2 linked regions of the Danio rerio genome follow. The protein of the gene in region 1 interacts with the protein of each later gene in a pairwise test. Links are inferred from orthologs where the notes say so. Each region holds a gene or a part of one and is shown on either strand. Other genes may lie near its edges.

Region 1 (6,810 bases):
TGATGCAGCAAGCCCAGAGACTGTTGTGTACCCCATGGTTTTATTTAAAATTCACTTTAATGTGTGATATGAATAAAAAGTGGTCATAAACTAATACTTTCTCAATCAAATGAGTAGCGGCTTGGACCTGGAAACAGTATTACATTCGTCACCAACACGTCACCACTTAACAAGCGGATTCAAACAGAATGCCTGAGCATACTGCCCGAGAGGAATGACTTGCCTTAAAAGGACTTTGAAGTGACTCTGATGGAGATTATAAAGTAAATTGACCTCCTTGACTAATCATCTCTTCTTTCTGCTTCAAAAATCTTACAGGAACCATATGCTTAGTCAAAATAAAATCATCATCACACTACTTAAATATTAGTCTCAAATTCAGCTACAATGGTTACATGGTTCAATGGTTACAATCGTGTTTTGATTTGGTTATATATAGAGAACTACATCTTTATTCTGGGATTACCACTATTTATTAATACGCTTGCATATGAAGTAAATCATAACTCAATTTACTGGGGCATGGACCTTTTACCGCAAGTAAAAGTGGTTTAGTGATGCCTGTGGATCCAATCATGTTAATACAAGTTGTATTCAAGTTGTATTTCTTAATATTTCTGAACTATGGACCATTTATTCAACTTAAAGTAAAAAATACAGTATTTATTTAAAACTAAAAATCTTTTTTAACGTAATAATTTTGTGCAAAGTCTTGCTTAAAACTTATTGACGCCAAACTTCGTGAATCATTATGGACGATTCAGTAGCACGAAAAAACGAGAGCAGAGAACCATTTCTCTTCAAGAATTCATTGTACAACAAAGAGAATATACATAGTGCAGTGCATATACACATAACAGTATACACACTATAAAGTGAGAGAGGAAGAACAGACTGAGAAACAGTACACAAAGAAGCATCTTTTTTTCCATCATATTTCCATTTGAAGTGTATCTTGCATGATGATCACACAACAGATGAGAGATTTAAGGAGTAAAATTATAAATATGTGTGCATTGCTGCTTCTGTATATGTGCATGTATTTGGATGTGTATCTATATTTCTGCTGGCTCTGTGCAAGAATTACCTTGCAATCCAAATATGGGCGACACTGTAATATGGCGAAAAATTCAGCGCAAGATATATATTCAGACATTTATCTTCCTCCATGGGCTTCCCTAAGACATATAATAAAAGAGTAAAACATTTTTAGCGACATTAAAATACAGTATATTCATGTAAAACCGAAGCTATCATAGACGTGCATGCATAAAAAGTCACTTTACAACTTATGATCTGACCGTTTAATGATGCTTGAGTGCCCAATCAAGATCTGAATCCAGTTTTAGGTTCAATATGATGAAAGATCATGCCGATTATCTGTATTCCTGTAAAGTTTACTCATTTCAAAAGATCAAAACACCGTCTCTATATGCCAACAGCTCGGAATATGCTTCATGTCTGCGAACACACTGGACATTCATTGCAATACAAATGACTGGCTTTTTTCCTATTCCTAAAAAATAGATGTGGCAACAATACAGTCATGGCCAAAAGTTTGCAGTTTAAACATGTTGAAAGCTCTTTCAAAGTTTAAAACCATTCAAATCAACATGTAATAAAAAAATAAAACATTTAAATATTTTTTCCTGCTTAATTTTGGTCTCGATTTTAGTCCAAATATATAAAAAAAATCTTAAATCAAGTAGTATTTTTTGACAAATAAAAAATATTGTTTTGCTTTTAGGTATAATGAGTAAAAATTCTTATATTTTTTGCAAAATAATCTGCCAATGGGTTAAGTAAGATACTAATTTGAAATCAAAAACATTTTACTCACCCTAATGGCAGATTATTTTGCTTGTTTGACAGAAAAATCTAACTTAATTTCGACTAAATATTTTTGAAAACATACAAAATTTCTTACTTGTCTAGAAGATGCTTCTTGTTTTAAAGGGCACCTATGATGAAAAAGAACTTTTGGAAGCTGTTTGGACAGAACTGTGTTTAGATATAGTGTGTCCACTGCCATATTGGAGTTCTGTAGACCCAAGAAGTCTGTTTTTTTAATATTTCCTGATGTTAAAATAGGACCCAAATCCTAGTGATTGTGAGGCCCACCACATTGTCAAGTAGAAATGCAGTTTTCCCCACCCACTGAATTGATTGACAGGCACCATGTTTCTATAATAACTGTCAATTTTTTGCAAAGAAACTGGGACTGAATTATCTGTTACAATTCTCTGTGATTTGTATAAGTTTTATCAGTTTAAAACATTTTTAAAACAGAGCATGTTTGTAATAATTATTTTTAAAATGTTTAGGGTTAATAAAGACAGTGGAGATTAACAGACAGGAAAGTATGGGGAGCAGAGAAGGGGGAAGCATCGGCCAGGAATTGTACTCGGCATATATATGTGTGTACTGCAAACGGCATTTGTGTGAGACTCATCATTTCAGAAAGGCTTAAATAAACTCCTCCACAAATACATGTAATAAACTTACTTGGTATTTTTGACTAATGGAGCTGTATTTCAGCTTTATCAGTGTCTGTCTCTATCACTGATGTCTGTTTAGCTGACGTACTGCATGATGAGAAGCTGTTACGACTAAAGTATTTGTTTATTTTTTGTTGCGCATTGCATGTGTCTTGCATGTGTTCCGCATTTTCTGTTGTTTTCTGTTATTCCATAGAATCCCATTCTAATGTGATCCAAGCTCTGATTGACTGCTGGTCGCAGAGGCCTATTAAAAGGAACTTACGGAAGGGTTCGGGGAGCTCATTTGTGGTGCAAGGGTTGCTGGGAGTGGAGAGCTTCTGGATTTTCCCTACCTCTCCGGCAGACGACCAACCTTTAGTCTTGTACAACTGTTCATGCTTGCAACGTTTTGAGAGTTTGAGCTTGTAGAGGTGGCCTGCCTATTTATTTGATTACTTTTGACTGTTTATATTTAAGGAGGAAGGTAAGCTTCTTGTATTTTTCTTTAAATATACATAAGTAATTTAGTTCATTTACTTTGTCTTTTGTTTGTTATTTTGGCCTATTTTTCTATAATAAATCTATCAACCACTCTCATCTGAATGTCCGAGGGGGATCTTTTGCATCAAGTTTTTTGTTTTGTTTGGGAAATCCACCACCCACAACACTTTTTCCCCCGTTTATTAAGCCCATGTTGTTTTCCCCTAGTCTTGGGGTGTAATAGAAGCAGACACGCATGTGGAAACGGTGGGTGGGGAGAAGTAGATTATTTGCATTTAAAGACATGCTACAGAAACAGCTACACTGTATTCAGACACCGAAATGTGCAGATTCTGGTTACTATAATAAATAATCTGATGAGTATTTTGAGCTGAAACTTTACAGACACATTCTAGAGACACCAAAAGATTATTACATCCTGTAAAAGGGGTAAAATAGGTGCCCTTTAAGATTTTGTAGATATTTGGACTAGAAACAAGACAAAAACTTTAAACAAGAAAAGCATTTTTTACAGTGTAACCATTATTATTTTTTTTTTTTTAATTTTAAAGTCAACTTCAGTATTGTCGAGGTTGAAATGAAAACTTTAGCTTGTTTGCACTTTTGACTGACTGTAAAATCAAAAAAAGAAATGCAAAATTTGGCTCGGAGAGAGAAAGCAGTTGTAGCACCTAAGCTCACTATATACATGAAAATTGCTTTTCCCAATGGAAAAAAAAAAAAAAAAAAATGAAACTAAAATCTTGGAAAACTAAGCATTTCGGCAGGTGTCCATATCCGAGACTGTGGAGGCTGCAAACCCTTCTCTCATGGGTGACGCATGATCAGAGCTCAACTCCATGTCCAGAGTGAGGGATTCTGGGGAAACATGGCAACACACAGTATTATAAGAAGGTGGGTTGGCTGTAATAAGTTACTTTCATTAAATTACTTATCCTCAAAAAAAAAAAGTAAGGGATTTTTTTTGTTTTTTGTTTTTCAGCCAATGATAAACTTCCTGTGAAAGGTTAATTTATTTATATATTATTTATTTCTTGCCACATCAGCAACTTATGGCTATTTCGTGGCAAAATGGATGTACATAAAATATTAAATGATAAAAACAAATTCATATTACAAAAAAAAAGTTACATAGACAAATATATAAAATATTAATAGATAAAATGGCACACATTTCTTTTTCAAAGTTAAATATGATATTTCAGTTCAATTTTTGATAAATAATTTAAAACTCTTCCGGGTGGTACCTTTTTAAAGATGTCCATCAAAATACCCTCCTTATAAAAATTTTGTCAAATGGATTTTAAACTTCTACATTCCAACAAAATCTGTTTTATGGTAAGAGCAGCCTGGCAGTACATTACATTTAGGTGATTCTTCGTTATTCAGCAAACCTAAAATGTCCGATTCGACATCTGGTATAGACCGTTTGATCATGTCTGGTCTCAAAACTATAATTTGCTAAATGCCTTTTGTTTATTTACGGGTTAATTTCATGTAATTTATTTTTTATGCAGTTGTCCCATTCTCTTTGCCATATTTCGTTTATGTACAAATTGATTGTGGGTTACAAACAAGGGTAAAAGGTTAATGTGACTATTTTCAATTTCATATGGCTTCTTTTACATCATCCATGTTGTAATGTAGTTAAAGTACATTCAGTTGAATAGACTTATTCATTTATTTAGTTGTTCAAGGGAAATCGAAATTAAAGACCAAGTAACCACTAGCAGTCAGGATCAGCAGGCGAGCGCAGAAACTCTGACAGTAGAAACACTGGGGTAAAATAAACGGCCACATTTTTAAGATGTGATGGCGGGAAATGGAATTTGACGCAGTTCTTCTTGGCCGGTGTGAGATCCACTTTATATCCTATATCTATCAGGCAGTGAATATCATTAATTTTTTAAAGAAATCAGACCTTAACATGGCAATTTTATAAATGGAAAGATTGCTGAGGCTGGCTGACTAAAATTAAAAGTCCATGTGCATATAACCCATTACAGTTACACAGAAACTTAAATTCAACAGTTCTTTATAAATTAATTTTGAAAAACAGAAATTATTGTATTGTTTTTTACTATACAAATATATTATATATAAAAACAATAGTTTTTCAAGTAAAGGTGACATTTATCAAGACAACATAACATGCTTAAGAAACAATAAAAGGAGTGATTAATTAATTCATGATAAAATAAATATTACTGTAGACTAGAACAGTGTGATTGTATTTTCCTCTTTAGATACTTTGCGGGTTAAATAATTTCATTTCTCAACTAAATGTTGGATTTGTCAGACAACTGCACATGCCTTGGAAAATAGTAATTAGAAAAGTAATTTAAATACACGTTTAATGATGTAATTATTTATTATTAATACTACTATTAGATTTCTTTTTGAGCCCACCATTCAATCATTTTACATTCTTCTGTAAATGGGAGTAAATATTTATTCTTACACATATTACATTATCGTTTTTATATTAATTAGAGCAATATCATTGACAAATAAGCAGATGTTGAGGATTTATGTACAACATAATTTGTAAACTAATGATTCCTGTTTTTAGTGGATGTATTATATGAGAGATTTACTGTAGCTTGGTTTATTAAACAAGTGATTCTAATTGTATTTGCACTGTAAACCTTATATTTTATTATTGTTATTGCAAGTTATTGTATCATGATGGTTTGTTCTGTAGACTATTGAAAAACATTTAGCTTAAAAGGGCTAATAATTTTGACTCTATTGCTTTTTAAAAAAAAAATCAAAACTGCTTTTATTCTAGCTGAAATAAAACTTTCCCCAAAAGGAAAAATATTATCAGACATACTGTAAAAATTTCTTTGCTCTGTTAAACATTATTTGGGAAATATTTAAAAAAGAAAAAAAAAAATCAAAGAGGGGCTAATAATTGTGACTTCAACTGTATGTGTATATAACACACGGTAAATATAAATATATATATATATATATATATATATATATATATATATATATATATATATATGAGCAATATCACACGAGTAGCAGTGCGATATGGCTGTATATCGGCACTGGTGGGAAGCGTGCGTTGCCTTATCGCACTGCTACGAGTTTGACAGCATAATTGTGTATATAAAAACAAAATCAAACTTGGAGAGTCTCAAAAACTCTTGTGTATGAGGAACTACTTTCTTCCGGATTCAAATCATAAGCTGACAGTTAAACAGTTGAGTGTGCATCTTTTAAACTTTAGATCTGTAGTGTCTGCTTTTTGCTGGCTGTATGTGGGCGGAGTAATACACAAAGGGTTAAAGAGGCTGTAGGAGTTCTGATATTGCAGAATATTGCATGGCTATCAGCCAATCAGATTTGAGAACCAGACAGAACTGTTGTATATATATATATGTATATATATAATGCACACATATCTTATGTCGAACAAACTTTTATTTTGTATTCGACTATTTATAAATATGTATCTTTTTTCATAAACATGATAAGCTGTTGAAACGTCATGACTCACCGAGAGGTCCTGGATTGGCCTCAGCAGCTTCGTTGTGCATGAGAGAGTCGAGCGTGCGAGGCGACATTGGGAACAAATCGCTTGTGTTGCCAGAGTTAGTCCTGCAAAAGAAAGACATTGACATTAGACATGATGACAAACGAAACGCAAACAGATGTGTTGATTTAGTAAGAAATCTTTCACAGCATGAGTCGGCCTCCGTCCTAGTTTACATATGTGTCAGAAACACCTACTAAAACTCACACAAACCCACACTTAGAGTCGCACACATGGACACCACTTGCTTAATACTGAAAGTTCACCCAAAAATGAAACTTC
Region 2 (8,156 bases), on another chromosome or scaffold:
TGGTTTAAGCATAAAAATTTTCCATGTTTACATAAAATGAGTTGGTCAAGTTGTAATGTTTTAAGTTTACAGAATGCAATAAATTACTTTTTTGACAGTTTTTTTCTTAAATGCACATTGCACAAAATTGAGATTCTGCTGCTGTGATAGATGCTCTTCAGTCATAAACTCCTCTCTGCACATCAGCATTTTTAAGCTTGTTTGACAGATGTGCACTTGTTTTACATTGTTGCAAATCTATAAATGCGTGTTTATAAAAGAATATCATAATTTTTTTTGATGCATTTTCCCCCTCGTTTACCAAAATTGTGATATATTGTGGCTGGTTTTCTTGTGATCTATCAATATATCTCAGAATCATTGATATCGTGATTGAAGCAGCAGTGCCCGGAACAGCAGCAAAATGCTTTTTCATGAACTTGGTGATAAAAAATAAGCTTCTGATTTATTGACAGTTGGTAAATACACTGCAAAAATGATTTTCTTTCTTATAGTTTTTGTGTGATTTTTAGTCCAAATATCTAAAAATTCTTAAACCAATACACATTTTCTAGACAGATTTTTAGTCAAAATTATGTGAATTTTTCATTAAAAAAGCTCAATAATCTGCCAATTAGGGTAAATAAAGAATATTGTTTTAGGTTTTAAATAAGATTATTTTACTTATCTCATTGGCAGATTAATTTGTTTTACAAAAAAAAAAAAAAATCACTTAATTTAGAATTTGTTTCTGAAAACTGAACAATTTTTGTACATATTTAGTAATTTGACTAATATGCGAGTATGTCTAGAAAATGCTTCCTGATTTACTTTGATTTTAGTTTAAATAGATGTTTTAAGTTATTTGAACTACAAAATACAATATGATTTTTTTTCAGTGTTAACATTTATATTCAATAAAAAATAAATGTATCTTTATTGTCACTATGTTTGACAGCGTCTTGTGCCTGAATAATAAAAAAAAAAGTATTTTATTGGCTACTTCCAGCTGCTTTTGTTTCTGCCAGCCCATATTAATGTTTTGTGTCAATTATTTAGATTTGGGCAAGTAGTAACATAAAAAGTTGGATCAATAGGAAGTTGTTTCTGCAGAATAATATTTAGAATTGTCTTAAAACATATATTTTATGATGTAAGCAACACAGCTACAGCGAATAAAATCGATAATGTGTGTTTTAAATTTATAGTGTGCGAATTATCAAGGATTTACGATAATTTGCCATATTGTTTGCACCAAGGGGGCCCCAAATAAAATCCTGCTTAGGGCCCCCTGAAGGCTTGGGCCGGCCCTGGTTCACTGAAATGAAACTATGTTTACTGGCTTTATAATACATCCCCAAACCAAAACGTAGAAAAATGACTCGTACACAGTTCTATAAAAAGACACAACAAACCAAAACGGTGGCGATGGTGCAGTCTATGAGCTCTGACCTATTTATCTAGTGGTTAAAGCAAGTGTTTATCCTGTTCTTTGCTGCTTCCACCACAGAAACTACACAGTAGAGGAAACAGAAAAAGCCTTTGCTGCAGCTCTGAGCACTTACTAGAGTAATACTTCACCAGCTCTTGAAGAGAAGAAAAGCTTGTGGACGGGGAGATGTAATATCCGCCATTATCCAGGGCTCGAATCTTATAGTGCTTGACCACATCACCCTGCTCTGGAGTGGAGTCTCTGATGGACAGAGAGAACGCACCTGTGAAGGAGCATTCACAAACATGAGTTAAATAAAGACCAGCTTCAGATTCAGACAAATATGTGATTAATAGATGCTCAAGTGAATTCAATCTGACAGGCACCACTGGAATGAAAACTAAAAATAATCATAAAAGAGTTTCATAAACAGATCATTGGTGGGTTTAGATGTAACTAAAATAGCTGATGTTGATTAATGCACCTTGTATAGTGTGATAAATTCTTCGATAAACTGGTCACAAGCTGTTTAGTGGGGTTTTGTAAGTGTAAACCTCCCTTAAGGTATGCTGTAAATAAAATTCTCCCTGCCTTAAATTTTTCAGAATCAAATGAACTTCATCTCAAATCATTCAAACTGACTAAAAATACAACAGTAAATTTTGTACAACAAAAAAGAAACTGGTTATTAAAAATTAAAGAAAGAAACTAAAAATTAAGAAACTTTTTAAATTAAAGGCAAAGTAACATAAAGGCATTTGTTTTCATGACTTTTTGTCATATTTTTTTACAGTGTAGTAATATAAAACTGATGATATAATGAAAAAATAAAATAATGATAATGAAATAATGACAATATAACTGTATAAAAACTAAAAAAAAAAAAATATATATATATATATATATATATATATATATATATATATATATAAATAACATTATAAACAAGATATAAATATTACGCATACAAATTTATTTATCAGGTTTTGATACTTTATGCATAAAATCAAACAATATTAGTTATTTCAAGGTTTACTAAAATGAAAAATAATAATAATCTGCATAAAAAAAATTATAAATTCCAGTTACGTCTAGTTTCTGCACCTCCCCTGGCTCTAAAATCAGACAAACAGAAAAGCTTAGAAAAAAGTTAGAAAAGCTATTTTTATCTCTACTTATGCTCTGAGCAAAAACACAAGCAAATCTCAGTACATAGTTTGACATTTATTTGCTCTTTCAGCGCTCTGCATGATGTGAACTGAAGATCAGCAGATCAGACCGTAAACTTTGAAAAATGCATCCTTTATCAACAAAGAATTTGAGCAGAGTCAAATAAAAGTAACATTCTGAACGCTGAATATTAGGAGTTCCTTCAGATATTCATTTAGTTTGAATGGTCTGATGTAAAACACTCATTTACAGTGATAGAATAGTGTACACTAATGAAAAAAAAATTAAAAGTTCTGCTTCTCTGGATTTAGAGGATATGGATTTATTTGATATTGGTTTAAGTAAAATATTCATATGGACCCTTTTCACAAGACTGTTATAACGTGTTTAATGGTCATCATGATCTTAAATCCTTGAAAGTTTCTAATGTTTGATAAAATGTTAAATTTGATCAATGTTTTTAGTTAAAGCTTATGTGAGGTGTTTCTAATGCAGCGTTTATAGTGCTGAGAGTAAATTTGACGTTATTCTCTCCTCTGGCTGCCGTCATCAGTCTCACACAATTTTTTTTCCTTTTTCTAAAAGTCTTGATAACACCATCGAGAAGTTTTTTTTTTTATTGTTACAGCAAATAGAGTTGTAAAAAAATTATTTGTTGTACTCTCCCATTCACTCAGTTTACCCAGCGATGTTGCCTTCCGCTACTGAGCAATCCGGAAATGTGAAAAGGGTCTGTTGGTTTATTTTATAAAGGTTTGATAACATTTCTTTCAAATCACACATTACAGTATTGATATTTGTAGCATTTTCCCTAAAAAAAAATTGTCAGATTTTTTCAATTCGTTTATATTTACTATGACAAACATCTGCACTGTAAAAAAAGGTTCACTCAACTTAAAATTTTAAGGCAACTTGCTACAGAGCTTTTTGAGTTGACTTAACTTTATTAGAGTCAAGTGCAAAATTTGGGTTGAAAACTGAATCATCTCAAAAAAGCTCTGCAGGAAGTTGCCTTACAATTTTGAGCTGATTCAACAATTTTTTTACAGTGGGTTTTTTGACCAAATATTGATTTCTAAAACTGAATACCAGCATGTTCTAAAACGTGACACTTTTTTGTTATCTTCTGCACCAAAAATGCTCAATTTGTAAAAGTGTAAAAAATTGTTTTATTTTAAATTTGGAGAAAATATCACAGAATAACAATTATTATTACTTGCAAACTAAAACCTCAAACATAAAAAATACTAAATCGATATAAAGTTTTTAAGTGGTTTCTAAAATGTTTACACAGATCGACAGTACTATATGATTTCTTTAGTATCAGTTAGGTAATATTGGTTACTTTATTAGACTTATTTTGCAGCCAGGAGTCCTAATTCATGACACAATGCCTCACAAAATCTTACAGACAGTAACAAAATCAAAGCCTTCAAGAGTCCAGTCCTCTCACAAAATTAATCAAATGAATAAACCAAATAAATCCTCTCTTCTTAGTCCAAATGGTATATAAAATAAAACTACAAGCAACAGAAACACCTCGGCTTTAGCCTATTTTTGTATCCTTAAGTTCTACAACTTGACACTTGTATTTCTTTTTAATATTGCTAAATAATTAATTAAAGGCAAAAGCCCTTAAACAACTGCGTGCAATAAGCACTATATTACAATGTTATTGTAATAAACTGCAGCAACAAATTAATAAATAAGTCATTGATCCTAACCAGTGAACCACTGACATACAGTACAACACAATAAGTGATAATGTGGAAATGTCTGACCTTTGGTTGTTTCACTTTCTCTCACAAGAAAGGAACCAGGTTTATTTCCTGGTGCTAGCAGAAGACGCTCTGTATCTCTACGATTCATGTCCTTAAAAAACCATCTGGAACAAAAACAGGAACCTTAATAATATCATTCTTCTCCAAGTAAGTCAGCAAATTATACAACAGACAAGGGACATTCCAAAGATGCTGATATTATTAAGCACAGTAAAACAGCAGAGCAACATTTGGAGTCCACAGCTGAAATACAGCAAAAAGCAGCAAACACTATTTATCGTGAGAAAAAAAAAAAAAAAAAAACATTTATTGATCATATTTGCTCTTACCGCTCCACCTGTAGCGTTTGCGCTCTTGCCACATACGTAGATGGAATAAATCCCTCATAACCTGTGACCAAGGACTTCGCCAACCACCATTCTCCATTTCTAAACAAACAAAAAACAACCAAGACATATCAGATTTAGCTTTTTCTTTTTACTGTGAGATTGAAGTTTGTACTAATTTACATGACTTTGGAATTGAAACATTTAAAGCAAATCTGGAGTGAGTTTAAATGAAGCATAACAGCAATATTAACACTTTTTAAAAAACATTTTTGAGGGTATTTTTAGCGCCATCTCTCAGCAATTCATAATGTTTTGATTTAGCAACTAATTCAAATGAATTCGTCAGATCTTATTCATACATTTTAGTATAACTTGTTCATGTCCCAAAGAGGGGTAGGGTAAAGGGGGAGTTTGGGGGCACAAATATCATAAATTTTTTATACAAACGGAATTGTATGAATTTGTATGAGTTCCCTTCTGTTCTGACGAGTTACATTGCCTTGTGACATCAGGTTGGGTACTTTTGGAACACAGATTCAAATTTAATTAGATTTGATTGATTTATTTCGAACAAAATAATAAAACCTTTAAAACAATTATTCAAACACTAACAAATGTTATCATTATGAACAGAACATCTGAATATCTGTATAAAACAAATTTCAATCATTAAGAAATGCACAAGTTTAATATTATTCATTATTCTTTGTTGCCCCAAATACCCCATAATTTGATTATCAAATTATTTAATCTCTTATCTTTTCATCCACTTTTATCTATTCTGTTCCCTTATAGATACCATTTGTACATTTGCTTAAATTGAGCGTCATAAAGTTAATAAGTTCTAACTTAAGCTTTGGATTCTTGTACAAATAAATACCCAATACTTCACAACTTCTTGTTATATTATAACATGTTAGAATTTGTGCTGTATTTTAGTTATAGTCTATATTCATATTTAGCAAGTTGTTTACTCACTCCTTAATAATCCTGAGTCTGTCCCCTTTTTTGAATTGAAGATCATTTTCACTAGCAGGCTGGAAGTCATATTGTGCAATAACAACATCTTCATCTGAAAAAAAAAAGTTAAATTTGTTAAAAAATTCCTTTCAAATAATCTTACATCTGCAACATCTCATCATGTAAACCAGGGTTAAGAAATAACATTTTCTCTTATGAAAAGTGAATTTAATTACCTCTATTTTAAACATTTACCTATTTTAATCAAAATACTCTAATACATAATAACCAACTGATAACTAATAGCGCCAATACAACTCATTTTTACATTTCATTTTGATCAAAAGCTTAATTATTTTTGGGACATGTTTTGTCTGCTTTTCCTTGCATTTGTGATGTATATTATTGTCTTTATTTTAGACAATGCAATATGTTTAATGATGTGACCATAGCATTATAAAAGTTTCCTTTTCCTTTCTTTTTTAGAAAAGATTTTAACATTTTCAGTAGAAACACAGTGATTAGGCCAAAAACCATAATGACTATTCAAATATTACTAAATAAGTTGCAATAAACAGATACTCTTCACTAATGCCAAATTCGATAACTGAAATAAAACATATGCATTACCTTGGTTGTTGTTTTGCTTCTTGTGATCTCTTGACGCCTGTAAATAACAAGAATAATATATAATATATATAAAATATATATAACTTATTGACCAAAATGTTTGTTTTTTAAAAACAAGACATAATACATTTTTAAATATAATTTAAGATAACATTTGTAATTAGTTACTTTACACCACTGGTAACACTGCATTACAACATACCACAATGTTATTACAAACTATGCTTCTGTGACTTTAATGTCATAAACATAATTTTTACAAACATAAAAAGAAAGAAAACACAGAATACAAAAACTATTAGCTTTTTTAAACTTAAAAAAATTAATAATAAAATAAAATAAAATAAAATAAAATAAAATTAAATTAAATTAAATTAAATTAAATTAAATTAAATTAAAAATTATAATTAAATACTAAAACCAGCAATACTTACGTGAGATGTCTTAGAGTTTGTTGAATTATAATGCTCATGACCTTTTGGATGGTTCTGGTCACTACAAGCACAACCCATCCTTAAAAATGAAATGTGATCATCTTCTTGTGTAGGGTTAATTAACATTTATTTATAAAATTTGATTTGATGCTGGAAATCACACCTTGTGGAGTTCAGTAAAAGTCCAAAAGATATGCTGAAAGGTCCAGATATTCATCATTCTTGGTGCTAAACAAAAGAAAAAAGATTTTTAAGCTCATCCACATAAGTTACACATTTATTTATAAATACTGTACAGCATCAACAGTTAATGATTTCACTATAATTAAACGATTTACTCAACCAGACAGTCATTGAAAATGCAAATCTCATCACACAAATAATAAACCAACATATTAAATATGAAGTGTCATCCATACAATTATAAAATGAACACAGTGTCTTTATACTTTAGTTTGTAAAATACAATAGTTTGCTAAGTTTAGATGACTTGCTCTAGCAAACAGAAATCTGAATCTGATCACATAAATAATAAACCAACATTTTAAATATGAAGTGTCATCCATACAATTATAAAATGAACACAGTGTCTTTATACTTCAGTCTGTAAAATACAATAGTTTACAGTAAGTACAAACAGATGACTTGCTCCATAGCAAACACAAATGTGAATCTGATCACAAATAATAAACCAACATATTATAAATGAAGTGTCATCCATACAATTATAAAATGAATAGTCTCCTTATGCTTTAGTCTGTAAAATGTAATAGCTTATACAAATAGATGACTTGCTCTATAGCAAACACAAATGTGAATCTGATCACACAAATAACAAACCAGCATATTAAAATTTGAAATAAAATGTGACTTCTTACCCTTATGTTATGAAAACAGATTCCATCGGACAAAAGTATGAACTAGTTCAAAAGATAAACAAGACATTTCTTAGACAATTAACAGATCAGTGAGTTACGTAAAAATGTTAACAGTGATGTTGAGAATACTTTGGAGATGATTGATGATCATTTTTACATTACCTTTTTAAAATTATTAATAAATACAAGCATCATCATTATCTAAATCACACTTATTATCTGTAAAGATGATGTAAAACAAACAATTTTACTCAGAAATTACTAGTAAATTTCTCAAACAATTACAGAACAACAGCCATTAATTAATTTTAAAGTTAAACTTTTTGCGTGTCATGGTTAACATGGTCAAATAATCTAAAAATGTAACTTTAAAAAACTCACTAAGCAATCATGGTCAACTGCTGTGCACTTTTATTTTAAAGTAAATTATAAAATTTGTACTTACATGTTATGTGTCCTCGGCACTCTTAAATATGTAATAATCCAATGTTAGGTTTTAGGTATCTCTCTTGTTCATATATAAAAAATAAATAATTGAAGACATGGAGAGACTATCTACTGCA

The links.
Region 2: the proteins of stat3 (region 1) and blk interact in binary tests that used the Homo sapiens proteins (3 or more experiments, as listed by UniProt). The link is inferred for Danio rerio from reciprocal best matches to the Homo sapiens genes STAT3 and BLK.

What each region holds. Positions count from the first base shown.
Region 1 is NC_133178.1:15,778,531-15,785,340, reverse strand, and holds the end of stat3 (signal transducer and activator of transcription 3), read right to left. Parts: intron 6,594-6,810; coding exon 6,493-6,593; intron 3,840-6,492; coding exon 3,733-3,839; 3' UTR 3,293-3,732; downstream 1-3,292. UniProt on the Homo sapiens protein: Signal transducer and transcription activator that mediates cellular responses to interleukins, KITLG/SCF, LEP and other growth factors. Once activated, recruits coactivators, such as NCOA1 or MED1, to the promoter region of the target gene.
Region 2 is NC_133195.1:21,635,361-21,643,516, reverse strand, and holds the start of blk (tyrosine-protein kinase Blk), read right to left. Parts: upstream 8,152-8,156; 5' UTR 8,039-8,151; intron 7,636-8,038; 5' UTR 7,594-7,635; intron 6,944-7,593; 5' UTR 6,879-6,943; exon of another isoform or gene 6,842-6,878; coding exon of another isoform or gene 6,794-6,841; coding exon 6,716-6,793; intron 6,319-6,715; coding exon 6,282-6,318; intron 5,764-6,281; coding exon 5,670-5,763; intron 4,791-5,669; coding exon 4,692-4,790; intron 4,467-4,691; coding exon 4,363-4,466; intron 1,695-4,362; coding exon 1,545-1,694; intron 1-1,544. UniProt on the Homo sapiens protein: Non-receptor tyrosine kinase involved in B-lymphocyte development, differentiation and signaling. B-cell receptor (BCR) signaling requires a tight regulation of several protein tyrosine kinases and phosphatases, and associated coreceptors.